Linked DNA regions of Arabidopsis thaliana. The protein of the gene in region 2 interacts with the protein of the main gene of each other region in a pairwise test. Each region holds a gene or a part of one and is shown on either strand. Other genes may lie near its edges.

Region 1 (4,840 bases), 1.5 Mb from region 2:
TTACGATACAGTTTAAATTATGCGATGGATTCTGGAGCACGATGTAAGAGATCATTGACTATAATATCATTATTGTGTAATAAAAAATTATTTTTTGCATTTTTAAAATTATAAATATTTCAACTATCTAGATTATTATAATACCACTAGATTGGAATGACATCGTATATATGGTAGAAATAAAACCGGATCCTGCGCTCCTTTCTCTCCTTATTATTGGTCGACTTCAAGGCCACGAAATCGAATATTATTAATTTACAATGACATTTCGGATATAAATTTAAATGTTTAATCTAAAAAGTATACTTTATTTGAAATAGGATAATTTCAGAAGAATCTTTAATTATAAAATCCTTATATATGTCTGTATTAGTGATTTAGCTGCTCGTTACGAATATATTAAAACAATAAATAAAATTACTTCCATAGACAAATGATTCAGGTTTAAGACGAGATTTGACGAAATCGTCTAACGATGATGGAGTATAAGTTCAAAATAAAAGTTTGTGTGGAGCTATAAGAAATATCCCCAAACAATGTAAATTGTATTCGGAATCCTAATTGTCTCAGTTTTAGTTGAAAATCTTTTTTTTTTCTGGTTAACACACTAAAAGAAGCAAATGTAGTTTCTAAGGAAGTCCATCCTAGTTAAAATCTTGAAGCCGACGGTGTAAACCCACTCGGATTGTGGAAGATGAATTTTAGGAGTCGAACAAGAGACCAGTCTGGAGAAACTTTGAGTTGCATGATATAGCTTGTTATAATTGTATTCTATGATTGAAAAAAGTACTGCTCGGTTTCTTATGATCTCATTGATGCGTGTGAAGATGAAAAAAGCTCTGTTTGATCTTCACCAAAAAGAAAAGTTATTCGATAAAGTATTCAACTAATATAAAATGACCATTCGTTGTTTGTATTATCATTCAATAAAGCAGCCTTTCTAATATTGTACTATTCTTTAATAAACCCCTTAACTTACGTTTCCAAATAGAAAGTTCTTGCATTAGTCATAAATTAACATTTCATAAACTTTTCATTATGAAATTCTTATAATTTTATAACATTATAAAATTCATGCAGTGTCTATTAATTAGCAATTTAAGACTAACATAAACTTAATCAACTCTGCCAACTGGTCAACGTAATTAAGTAGCTGCAGATCGATGATGTGTCATTTTTTCATTGGATCAGAGAACAAAATGCGTTTTACAGCTGAAAGTTTCTTTTACAAAATGCACTCATTTCATGCGGTGTCCGTTAGTGATTAACGCTGGATAAATAGATTGCTTTATTCAATTTGAAAAAGATCAAAATATAGCACATAAATAAAAAAAATTAGAATATTTGTTCCGATCATAAATTTATGCGTATACAGTATATGTGTATTTTTATAGGATTAAAGATACATATAAATTTCTTATATTTAATAGATATCGTTAAATGTTAAAGAAAATTTATCTAAAAACTAGCTAGTAAACATACAAATATATCACAAAAAATACATTCACCCCTGAACTGCCTATAAAGAATGATTGTGGATTAATTTTTGACATATATTAGGTCTAAGAAAAAAGAGAGAAAATATTGTTTTTTTTCTCTCTCAGCTTTTGTTTCCCATGCATACAGCTTTATGTTAGCGAAGAACTAGTATGATCTGGTACTCCGGTACTCCGGTACAGACGAAAGAAAGAAAGAAAAAACTTGTTTTAGTTGCCTCAATGTCAACTACTATGCTTTAATTATGATGCCAATTAACAAAAAAAAAACGAAATATTCCGAAGTAGTGTTCAGACCAGATCCATCTGGATTGCAATACAATTTGATATTATTTATATGATTGGCATTATCTTATTATATAATGCTGAGTCGTCTGGTTGAGATTATTCAAGAATAGAGACGAAGCTGGTAACATGGTGGTGGTGATTACCATTATAAACAATATTTTTAGTCTGTATATCTTCTTATTAAAATGCGAAGTCAAAGTCTGTTGGCTTTGGGTCCCTTCCTATAAAAACCTAGTTAGGCAAAAGAAAACGACAATAATTTTTTTTTTGATGTAAAGAAGAAAAACAAAAAGAGCAGATCCAGTTGATCTCAAGATCGCATCTGAATCATATAATAGCATGATCAAAGAGGAGACCGTTTCATACTTCCAAACTTTCGATGGTGTTATGGCAGAATCTGACAAGGTAAAACAAAACACTATTTCTCGATTTAACCGTTTAAACCACAAATTTCTCTAATTCTTGTTTTATTTTCAATCTCCTTCTGGTGTTTCAATCGGTTAGAATTAATCTCATGATCATATGATTCTGTTATATATTTACATATAGTTACCATATAATTCTTATGTCTGAAATTAATACAGTTTTACTGCATCTGATAAAAGTCAACTTGCTTGTTCGGAAATGGTCTCGAGTATCGAAAGTTCATTATTTTTTTTGGGACGGTTATTTAATGCTCAAGGATACCAAGATTTTCCGGTATTTAGAAAACTTCGGATGAAAACATTTATAATTAAGATCCGCTCTAATTAATATAGGTCGGATCGATCCATTTTTTTTCTTTTTTTCTTTATTGGCATTCGATCATGTTCACTTTTATAATACTATTTACTTTGTGTGTATTGAGAACTATTTATCGTAGAAGTTTAGAAGATAGGTCCAAACAGTTTTTAGATAAAAAGTGAATATAAATGTGTCTTGGATATTACAGGAAGAGGAGCTTGATGCAACAAAAGCAAAGGTGGAGAAAGTTCGGGAAGAAAATGAGAAATTAAAGCTCTTACTCTCTACGATTCTTAATAATTACAACTCTCTTCAAATGCAAGTCTCTAAAGTTCTCGGACAACAACAAGGAGCTTCGTCTATGGAGCTAGACCACATTGATCGTCAAGATGAAAATAACGACTATGATGTGGATATATCACTTAGGCTTGGAAGATCAGAGCAAAAGATCTCTAAAAAGGAGGAAAATAAGGTGGACAAGATTTCTACTAAGAACGTAGAGGAGTCAAAAGATAAAAGATCTGCACTGGGTTTTGGATTTCAGATTCAAAGCTATGAAGCCTCGAAACTAGATGATCTTTGTAGGCAGGTTAAGCTTGCAAACGCTGAAAATAAATGTGTATCTTCGAGGAAAGATGTCAAATCAGTTAGAAATGAAAACCATCAAGATGTTTTGGAGGAGCATGAACAAACAGGTTTGAAGAAAACTAGGGTTTGTGTTAAAGCATCATGTGAAGACCCATCAGTACGTACCATCAAAACCATACATTACATATATGTGTTTATTTACCATTTCACATCTAATTTAATTATTTGATCATATACACGTTACATGAATATATATAGATAAACGACGGTTGCCAGTGGAGGAAATATGGTCAAAAGACTGCGAAAACCAATCCTCTCCCACGAGCCTATTACCGTTGCTCCATGTCGTCAAATTGTCCCGTTAGAAAACAGGTATAATACATTCTATAATTTCTCAATCCAAATATCTGTTTATTAACAATTGGTTTTGAGTAAAAACTTTTAAAACGAATGTCTATAGGTGCAAAGATGTGGAGAAGAAGAAACCTCCGCTTTTATGACAACGTACGAAGGAAACCATGACCATCCTCTCCCCATGGAAGCAAGCCACATGGCAGCTGGAACTTCCGCGGCTGCCTCCTTATTACAATCTGGCTCCTCCTCTTCCTCCTCCTCCACCTCAGCGAGTCTAAGCTATTTCTTCCCTTTTCACCACTTCTCTATCTCCACCACTAACTCGCACCCGACTGTAACATTGGACCTCACACGACCAAACTATCCCAATCAGTTACCAGACGACTACCCTCTATCGTCCTCCTCTTTCAGTCTCAACTTTTCCTCTCCAGATCCTCCACCTCCATCATCGCATGACCACACCTTGAACTTTAGTGGCTTGCGAACACAAGCTCCGTTGAGTACAGATTCATTATTGGCCCGTTATCGAACGAGACTTTCCGGACAGCAATAAGCCAGTAACTGTATCGGTATAGCTAGACACAAGTCTAGAAAGTAACTGATTTCCGTTTTCTTTGTCATTCATTTGTTTTTCAGCCTCTGAAAGAGAGATCTGGTTTTGGCATGATATGCAAAATGCTTATATACTTGTAGATATCCAAATGTTTAAATTAGTGGATTACCTATCATATCATGGATTATATATGTATATGAAGGTTTTGTAAATTAATGGTCTACACAAATTTGATACACCAAATATTTTTTTATGCTTATAAAAATTTTAAATACAATGTTAATTTTTTTTGTTGGTGAATTAAGTAAGTATGACTATGATGACACAATGATATCTAAAATGGAAGGTGGTTTTCATGCAGATTGACAAAATCTCCCTCTTTCACTTTTGCAAAATTGTTTGATTTTTACAAAATAAACTTTAGTTAGCATCACATAAAATAGTGGGTTATTTGACAAATTATCAACACAACGTATTATTATTTGAAATCACATACGTATTGTTTACTAATTTGATTATTATTATTTTTTGCTACAGACATTTACTAATTTGATGGTCAAAATTGTAGTCACCATTAAAATTATTTACATAAAAGAATTGATTATTTTACTTCCCTCAATTATCAAATATAAATTTGTGATGAATTTGACCGAAATGAAGATGTCTGAATTGTTTGAGCCACCTAAATGTTTAGATGGTCGATTCTTAAAAAGGAAAGAAAACAAAATGACCAAAAGAAAGAAAACGTATGAAACTATGATCCATCAGATATTACTTTTAAATCAATCTTGGGCTCAGGCCCGTTACTACCGTTTTCTATCTTAGAATTCGGCCCATC
Region 2 (3,817 bases):
GATGCAAAAATTTAATCTATATTGTTGTAAATATAATGTAGACACTTCCAAATATTAAATATTCTTTTTATTTTTCTTAAAACTGAGATTTGATGACTATTGTTTTGGACGTTCAAGGCTTTCCAGCTGTGGCTGATTTGAAAATTTGAAGAGATTATATGTATTTTTCCTTGTTTTTTACTAACATTGATATATATTTCTTTGTTTCATACAAAAAAATAATAAGTTTGAATGTTTGATACTACATTTACGTGACAACATGATTTATATTTTCTATAAACTGCCTTATAGGCTTATATTCGAACTTATTATACACTAATCGTATTATAGTTTTTAACTAGCTAAGCCGAAATAACATTCCTCATTACTATTCTCTAAAGTGTGATTGATGAGGAGGCTTCGCTTCTACAACTTTCAAAACACTTTAAGAATCAATCATATTGTCAAAATTATTGTGGGATCTTACTAAAACTTATGTCAAAAATATGGTTGGATAGACTGACACTAATTCATTGTGGTTCCGACTTTTGTCTGCTCGGTAAAATTTTGATCGTTATGTATCCCCACTTTGAATGCAATCTCGAGGCAGTATATATATTTGTAATGTCGAAGTTACACAAGTATACATATCATATGGCATCGAGATTTCTTGAAATTAATCTTTAAAAGTATCTTTTTAAATCCAAAAAAAGGAAGAAAATTAGAAAGACAAAAAAAGGAGAGCAAAAAACAAAAGTCAAAGGGTCCACGATGATGAATGGAAGACAGAACTCCCATCCCTCCCTTGACCCATCTCCACTGCCTCACGTGCCTTTGCCTTCTGCGCATTTTAATATTCCAATTAAAAATCGATATTTAAATCATCTAATTATAATCACATCAAACCATATAGTTAAATTAAGAAATAAATAAATCATAGCAAACATCACCAGTCTTACGAGAAAATTTTAATTAAAAGTTATAATTCTAGATTCTGTACCTGCATGGATTCCACAGCATCAGTCTCCGAGTTAAAGTCATAATACGAACTTGCTGCTGTAAGCTTCATAGATAAAAACTGAGTTCACATAAAAAAGAAAGTAAATTAGTATAATTATTGAAACGAATGGAATTGGTTAGATGACCTATAACTTAAGAGAAATTAATTGTTATTGTTATACCTCGACTTGATTTTGTAAGGACTGGACGTAATTAATTATCTCATCAAGCATAGTAGCCATTCCCATTGTCTGCATCACCAAATATATATTCAATAAAAGAACTAATAATATATTTTCTTAAAGTCTAAGCAAAATATAATCACCTTATAACATCCGGGGACTATATCTTGCAAGCATTTCAATCTCTCGTTTATTTTCCCTCGTCGAACCTGAAAGTTAATTTTAATTTTTTTACTCATAGTTTTCATTTATATTATTTATGTACACTATAATTTGTATAGAGAAAATCAATTTTACCCGTTCTGCTATGCTGTGGCTATCAGTGGCTTGGCCTCTTCTAGCTCTAACATGAACAACTTCTCTCTCTTTCTCTTCTTCTCTATTCTTCGACCTCTTCCCTCTCCTTGAAGAATTCTGTGATATCAATAAGAAAAAAGAGAAAAACAAAGTTAGATTAATTCATAGAAACTGAGAGTACTCTAATATATGTGTGTGAAATTAGGGTTTCTAGGTTAATAAAATACATTTTTTGTCGAAATATTTCCATTTATGGAAACTTGAGCAGAAGAGGTAGAGAGAGTTTGATCAGAGACACTGTTCTCCGACGTAGAAACAGCTTCCATTAATGATTTTCTCTTCTTGGTATCGAATTGTGAAGAAGACTCTTCGTTGTTTTGGATATTAGAAGGGAAGAATATCCCTTGATGAAAATTATTCTCGAGAGATTTTCCGGGAAAATGATCAGGGAATTGATTATGAAAGAAAAGAGAATCGAGAGAAGAAGAGAAAGGAGGAGGAAATGTTTGGAAATGATGAAGCGTGTTGCTCAGTTCTGCTAGTTGTCTTATGGGATCATCCATTGTAAATGTCTGAAAATCAGAAGAGAGATTCGCCATTTCTGAGTTTCAATTTTTATTTTTTTTTTGAAAATTGGTGAAAATAGAAAGTGGCTGTTTTCGAGCGAGTGGCAATGTTTATATATAGACTAGAGTTTTCTTATTATTATTTTTTTGAAAAAAATTGGAATAAAAGTGGGGTTAATCAAAAAGATGAGAAAATAAAAAAGGAGGGCCAATGAAAGTGAGAGTTATGGGATTTTTGTATAGGAGTGGGTCACACATAATTTATCAGGAGATATATCCAAATAGAGAAGTGGGCCAACGTTTGGTAGCCGGACCAGTGAGCACTGTTTAAGCAAACTTCTTTCATTATTTCTCAAGGGGGAAGTACTTACTTAAGACCTCCTCAACAAAGTATTTTATTTCAATTGGTGCTCCCTTTTCTGCTTTCTTCTTCTAGTCTATTGTGATTTGTGACCAACGAGCGAGTAATCCAATCCTATTATCGTACATTGATTGCATTTGCTATATGGATTTAAGATTTCATTGGTTATACAGTTTTAGTTATTTTACCGTTTAGTATTAAACACTTTGGTAAGAAGAATAAAAAGTTGTATGGATTATATTCAAGAATAGTTTGATTGATGATATTCACTGGTTTCAAATAGTATTAACATTTTTAGTTAAATAGTACCTATTTATGTTAAACAAAAGAAATATTTTTGTATGATACTTATAATGTGATGTGATAGTATACGAGCTAAATTAATGTTGGCTATTTATAATTTTTTTTTTTTTTGGAAAACAATATGTGGATTATGCAGATTTACATCCGAATTAAGACGTATCGACCACCTTGCCACAAACTAGTAGCAGAATACATGTCATGATCGATTTATCTATATTTATAGTTTATTGAATAAACATAATTAATTAACTTAGCTAGGTCTACTTTGAAATTTAAAATGTGGTCTAAGTTGAAACTTAAAATGTCGAAATCAATATAAGTTCGTTTTAACTTGGTTTGGTGTCTCTAGACTTCTGAAAACGTTTTTCTTTCTGGTATATTTTACTATATAGTACAATTAGGTTCCTATCAAATTAAGTAAATTGACCTATCACTATATACCATTTTCAACTGATCAAATCACATGCAGTTACATATGCATTCAAGACTCAATCTAACTTGTTGTTTTGACTTTAGGCATTGTTATTTTTAATACAGTACTTAACTAATTGACACACCGGAAGTGCTGATAACAAGCATAAATGGTCAAATCTTTTGAATAATTGTTCGACAATCTTTTTAAACCCCTTGATTTTTTAATTCTTTTTGATAAAATAAAACCCCTTGAATTTCCAAAGCTTTTTAGGAACAGACGACATATATAAGATTTTGAACGAGTCTTTAGTCCCTAATAGTGTTGGACAAAAATAGCAGCCAATTCAAAGTTTTTGATTTACAACTGAAACAAATAGCAAACCCCAACTTGAAGAAAGAAATCCAAAAACGACATAACTGAGGAAAACAGTAACTGAATACAAGATGTATGCTACATATCAAACTTTACATAACATACCAGGCCCGACCATGAGTGTATTACTGGGTCTAAAAAAACAAAACAAATAACAAAAACATAATTGTAAGAAAGAAAAAGTCAATTGATGGCAAAAAAAAAAAAAAAAAAAAGAAAGAAAAAGTCAAAAAAAAAATTTGTAAAATTTGAGACCATAAAAACTAAAAGAGTAGTAACTACTAAACATTCAAAAGAATTTTACTAAAAAATGTTTTGTCTTCAATTTTAAATACATTTTGAG
Region 3 (5,790 bases), on a different chromosome or scaffold from region 2:
CTTCTATCTGCATTGCATCAATGAATCCACTAAAGTTTGGTTCCTGGATGGGTGGTGATAGAGATGGAAATCCAAATGTCACGGTAAAGGTGATAATGAGGGCTTGCTTTCTACATTACTTTTTTAGGGTTAGAATTTTGCTGGTCACTCAACTTGCTAACACACTTTGCTGGTCATTAAGAGTGAGTCCTTGATTTCTATGTAAAGATTAACTTGCTAACACACTTGGTTTTATCAATAAATTTCTTGTTCACAGAAGGAGTATTGCATATGTTTAGGTGGATGGCTATCGATCTTTACGTAAGAGCGATTGACATCTTAAAATTATACGCCGCTCTGAGAATGAATGTGTGTTTTCTGACCCTCAAGTGCTTCAGACACTGAGAATGAATGTGTGTTTTCTGATCCTCAAGTGCTCGACTTCTATATTAATTCGAAAGGAGTTAAGATCAAGTAGATTGTTGAACCTCAGTGAACTAGTTAATGCCCTCTGTGATCATTTATTCCCATTTTGCTTAGTCTGCCTATATATAATTCTAAGTCAATGAACTTGTATAATATTCTAAGCAAGACATCAGTAGCATATAGTATAAGTTGATACACAATAATTAAGCCAAATGACTTGGGAAATTATACGACTTCAGATAAAAAGCGCTCTAGTCTATGGAGTAGATTAAGCATCTGCTGGTGCTGGAGTCGATAGGCTCCATAGCCAACGTACATTTTGTTTCATTTTAGAAAAAGCATTACAAGTTCTTGTTTGGACTATCAGACAACAAAAAAAAGTAACTTTTATAATTCGCCTAGGACCCAAAAGTTATGAGCACGGGTCTAATAGTCTAACATTAATAAGTGTTATTGATTAAGATCGTAGGCATGATTAAAGATGCATTCCAGCTTCAGTTAATAGTCGGTACTATAGTTCCTAGTGTTATTGATACTATTCTGCTTTACTAAATCAAAATTTCAAACTATTAAATAATATAGACTTGTAAGCAAACAATAATAAGGATATGATATCAATAATTATCGATTTCTATTGAAAATAATTTTGTCCTATACGAACAACAATAACTGTTTCACCAAATCAATATCCAATTTTGCTTGGAGTGGCCATGCAAGATACTTGTCCTTGACCCTTTTCTTTGTCTCATACCAGCTTAGAAAGTCATTGTTTAGGCAAGTACCATTAACATTATTTAAAATACAGATCAAGTCACGCTAATACAGATCAAATCAAGTACCATTAGATTTTCTTCTTCTTTTGGTTGTAATAAAGAAGAGCATAATTTCAGATGTTGCAATCTATATAGTCTACGAGTAATAGAGTTCAATTCCATCATCATTAGCCATGATAATAAAGACGTAACACATAACGACACATTGAACTTAAAATAAATAAATAAATAAATAAAAATGATAAGAAAGGAACAATCAAAGAAAAGGCCAAGCAAATTGATTGATATTTTTGTAAAGCTTACGTAAAAAACTTATATGAAAAAAATACGTAAATGGATATAAGATTTGATGGCACAATACAAAGACACGAGTGGTGAGAAAAGAAAGAAGAAAAAGCAAGAACCCAAATGGATCACACATCTCATCAATTCTCCTTAAATGGCTAAAAAAGATCTCACCCTTCTTTACTTTTTTCCCTCTTTCTGATTTGTGATAATTGAAACCAGCACAAGAAGACAACACCATTTTCTTATAACTTTATAAAATTTTATAAATAGAGACACATACATATATATATATATAGAGACATGTAAATAGTAAAATGTAGGGTCTCTTCCCTAATTTAAAGCCTGCAACAGAAATGAGTGCACTTCTCTGTAGTAAACAGTAACACATCGGTCTTCTTCATGTCTTTGGATTTCTTTTTTGGATTTCGATTCTGTTTCAACCATATATTTTCTTTAGATAATTTTACTAGATTCATCTCTTTCTCTATGAACAACATTTTAAATAAATGACATTTTAAGAAAGTGATTATATATAAGATTTTCTTGATTCTGATTTATCTTTTTTTTTGGTCGGAAGATCTTAAAGATATGAAAATGGATTCGTGTCATAAACAGAGGCAGCTCCGTACGTGATTTGGCCCTCCTTCTTTTCAACTTCTTCTTTCTTGAATATTAAAGTTGTATTTTTCCCCTCGATAATACAACTTTTGGTTTGTTTATTTAGTTATAAAATGTTGCTATTTGTTGATCTAGTGCTCTGAATCTTTTAGTGAGGCAGATGATGAAGATTATGAATTTCTTCATGAAATTATTGTAAGAAAAAGTAAGTAATTTTTTTTGTAAGTGTTTGCGTTCATGCAAAAGAGATTAATCAGACCCACTTTTCTCTTTTTCAGTTTTGTTGCATTATTTTGTTCTCTTTAATTTATGAATACTAACTTTATTGTTGATTTCTGCTTTTTGGTTCTCTTTAGGAACATAGAGAAGCTGCGGAATGAAAGTACACTGTTCTTTCACGGAGAAAGAAGATAAATAAGCATTATCTTCTTCTTCAGTTTTTAACACACATTTTGGAAATTTTGATGTAAAAATTCTCTTTGGAACGTTGTGTTGTCTGAAATCTTCCCAAAGGTTCTATCAGAAGAAGAAGGATAAAGGCAAGTTTCAACATTTTTAATGTTCTATGGACATTTGTAGTAATCTAAAGCTTTCTTTTTTACTTATTAGTTCACTGTTTATCACAGATAGCTTTGAGATATTATTGGTCTGTGTATCATTGAGCCTAGTTACGGCTTCATTAACTCATGTTTCGGTTCTTTATATATTTTAATGAAATATTTAATGACATAGTGAGCGATGTTCTCTGTCTCTTGCAGCATTTTACATTTAGTACTATTCTCCAAAGATTTGGTTTCTTAGATTTTCTGAAATCTTTTGTCTAAGTCTTAAATACTTGTCTTCTTTGGTAATGCAGTTTCATAGAAACCCAATGGACAACAACAACAACAACAACACTTTTAGTTCTCTGGATAATGTCATGACTAACCAAAATCCTCTTCTCATGGATTTTATACCTTCAAGAGAAGATTCAACTTCATTCTCAACAATGCTTCCATGGAATACCATCAGATCAGATCCTCTACAAATGGGTGGCTTTGATATTTTCAATTCTATGCTGACTAACAAATACTTATCATCTTCTCCACGGTCTATCGATGTTCAAGATAACCGCAATGTTGAGTTCATGGCTCCTCCTCCTCATCCTCCTCCACTTCATCCTTTGGATCATTTAAGACACTATGATGATTCCTCAAACAACATGTGGGGTTTTGAAGCAAATAGTGAGTTTCAGGCATTTTCAGGTGTAGTTGGTCCAAGTGAACCAATGATGTCTACATTCGGTGAAGAAGATTTCCCGTTTCTAATTTCGAATAAAAGAAACAATGAGCTTTCATTGAGTCTTGCATCAGATGTTTCTGATGAATGCTCGGAGATAAGTCTTTGTGCAGCTACAAGATTAGCCTCAGAGCAAGCTTCTTGCAGCAGCAAAGACATTTCTAATAACGTTGTTACTCAAGGTTTCTCTCAACTTATATTTGGCTCAAAATACCTTCACTCTGTTCAAGAAATACTATCTCATTTCGCCGCATACTCGCTCGATTATTCATCTCGAGGAACCGAGTCAGGAGCTGCTAGTTCAGCCTTTACTTCACGTTTTGAGAATATAACTGAGTTTCTTGATGGTGATTCTAATAACTCGGAGGCGGGTTTCGGATCTACATTTCAAAGGAGAGCATTAGAAGCAAAGAAAACCCATCTCTTGGATCTTCTTCAAATGGTATGTAATATATTCATTCACTTTTTTTGCATAAGTTAAAAAAATGGTTTGATATATATGATGAAGTTTTATGAGTTGATATTTCTCTTCAGGTGGATGATCGATATAGTCATTGCGTAGATGAGATTCATACGGTTATATCAGCGTTCCATGCTGCAACCGAGTTAGATCCACAGTTACACACCCGGTTTGCCCTCCAAACCGTTTCCTTCTTATACAAGAACCTGAGAGAGAGAATCTGCAAGAAGATAATCTCTATGGGATCTGTATTGGAGAGAGGCAAAGACAAGACTCAAGAAACCTCTATGTTCCACCAGCATTGCCTTCTTCAGCAGCTGAAACGAAAGAACCATCAGATTTGGAGACCTCAACGAGGTTTGCCTGAGAAATCTGTTTCGGTTCTACGGAATTGGATGTTCCAAAACTTCCTTCACCCGTAACAATCCTTACTCTTCTTAACTATCTACTTTATGATGATGACATTGTTAACTCGATTTTATAAGCAAAGTTATGTTTTATTTAATGCAGTTACCCGAAAGATTCGGAGAAACATCTTCTAGCTATACGAAGTGGCTTGACAAGAAGTCAGGTAATGTCTCATGTTTGTTTTCTTATGCAATGACTCATTGATAACAAGCTTTGTTTTCTTATGCAATGACTCATTGATAAGATCTTTGTTTTCTTATGCAATGACTTATTGATAACATCTTTGCTCACAATGATAGCAAATATGGTATTCAAATGAGTAATATATATCTTGACATACTAGTCATGTCTGAAAAACCGGTATTGGTTATTTTAAGATGAGATTAGGGCTAGGAAAAAATCAAGCTTTTCTCTTGAACTACAAATGAGACTAGATTATGTATTCTTGAATTCACAATAATGTTACTCAAGTCCTAGGATTGTAGTCGCACATATGTTTTGTTACTGAAGTAAGTTAAAGCGGGCAAATGATATAGAGTGTGTCTCTTTGTTGTGTGTGATTAAAGGTATCAAACTGGTTTATAAATGCGCGGGTTAGGCTATGGAAGCCGATGATAGAAGAGATGTATGCGGAAATGAACAAGAGGAAGCTCAATAACAGTCACATTCAACCCAACGGACCAACTCTTCGAATGCCAAAATCTGTTATGATGAGCCAAGCAATGCATAAATAAGACAACAATTGTGTTTACCAACTTTGTGATAATTAGGCAATTGCTACTCTATGATTGCCCAAAACCTAAACCATGTACGACTATCATTACGTATGTTATAATTGTATATACAACTCCTTTATCTTTGACTATTTCATTTTATTATCCTGTATTCTTATATCATAATTATCATCATCCTCATTAAACTTCATGATCACCATTTTTACGTAAAAATAAAATTAAGTTCATGAAAATATATAAAAAGTATGTAACCACTGAAGATTTATTTTCATATTTATTCAAACAAACTACAAAATACAAACCTAAAGTTTTATTTCACCGTTTGCATTTAACTTTTTTTCTCTTACAAGTGAGTTTTATTATTCCAAAAACTGAAATGAATAATGACGAAAATCTCCTAGCAAGCGACGTCGTATTTTGGTTTGACTTGAGAATCTTCGGTCAACTAATAAAAACGCAGCGTTTTCATCTGGTACGGACACAATTAGAAATAGAAAGTAGGAAAAGGAAGACACTTTGCTAAAACTGAGGAAGAAAGTGTAAAGACGGAGCCTTTTACGGCGAATGGAGGAAGACAGAGCCACCATGACCGGAGCTGTAGCCACTCGAGACTCGGTGGAACCCAGCGAAGACATACTCATATGCGTCGATGTTGATGCGGAATCGACGGTGGAGATGAAGACCACTGGAACTAACGGTAAGCCTTTGAACAGGCTCGAGTGCCTCAAGCTAGCCATTACTCGCTTTATCCACGACAAGCTCTCCAGAAATTCCGATCATCGCTTTGCTTTCGCTACCCTCTCCCAGTCAGCCGCTTGGGTAAGAC

The links.
Region 1: the proteins of BEE3 (region 2) and WRKY36 interact in a two-hybrid assay, tested with the Arabidopsis thaliana proteins (one large-scale study listed by BioGRID).
Region 3: the proteins of BEE3 (region 2) and ATH1 interact in a two-hybrid assay, tested with the Arabidopsis thaliana proteins (one large-scale study listed by BioGRID).

Annotation. Positions count from the first base shown.
Region 1 is NC_003070.9:26,276,400-26,281,239, reverse strand, and holds WRKY36 (WRKY DNA-binding protein 36), read left to right. Parts: upstream 1-1,984; 5' UTR 1,985-2,123; coding exon 2,124-2,189; intron 2,190-2,368; exon of another isoform or gene 2,369-2,715; coding exon 2,716-3,252; intron 3,253-3,353; coding exon 3,354-3,467; intron 3,468-3,555; coding exon 3,556-4,002; 3' UTR 4,003-4,292; downstream 4,293-4,840. UniProt on the Arabidopsis thaliana protein: Transcription factor. Interacts specifically with the W box (5'-(T)TGAC[CT]-3'), a frequently occurring elicitor-responsive cis-acting element.
Region 2 is NC_003070.9:27,758,266-27,762,082, reverse strand, and holds BEE3 (BR enhanced expression 3), read right to left. Parts: upstream 2,143-3,817; 5' UTR 2,057-2,142; coding exon 1,685-2,056; intron 1,575-1,684; coding exon 1,458-1,574; intron 1,370-1,457; coding exon 1,304-1,369; intron 1,230-1,303; coding exon 1,161-1,229; intron 1,058-1,160; coding exon 980-1,057; intron 821-979; coding exon 737-820; 3' UTR 527-736; downstream 1-526. UniProt on the Arabidopsis thaliana protein: Positive regulator of brassinosteroid signaling.
Region 3 is NC_003075.7:15,914,039-15,919,828, reverse strand, and holds ATH1 (homeobox protein ATH1), read left to right. Parts: upstream 1-1,675; 5' UTR 1,676-2,289; exon of another isoform or gene 2,290-2,440; 5' UTR 2,441-2,623; intron 2,624-2,940; 5' UTR 2,941-2,955; coding exon 2,956-3,804; intron 3,805-3,896; coding exon 3,897-4,240; intron 4,241-4,332; coding exon 4,333-4,393; intron 4,394-4,796; coding exon 4,797-4,964; 3' UTR 4,965-5,159; downstream 5,160-5,790. Other genes in the region: AT4G32970 (BRISC/BRCA1-A complex protein), read left to right, coding at 5,529-5,783. UniProt on the Arabidopsis thaliana protein: Transcription factor which may be involved in the signal transduction pathway downstream of the COP1 gene. Controls floral competency as a specific activator of FLC expression. Is responsive of the nuclear import of SHOOT MERISTEMLESS (STM).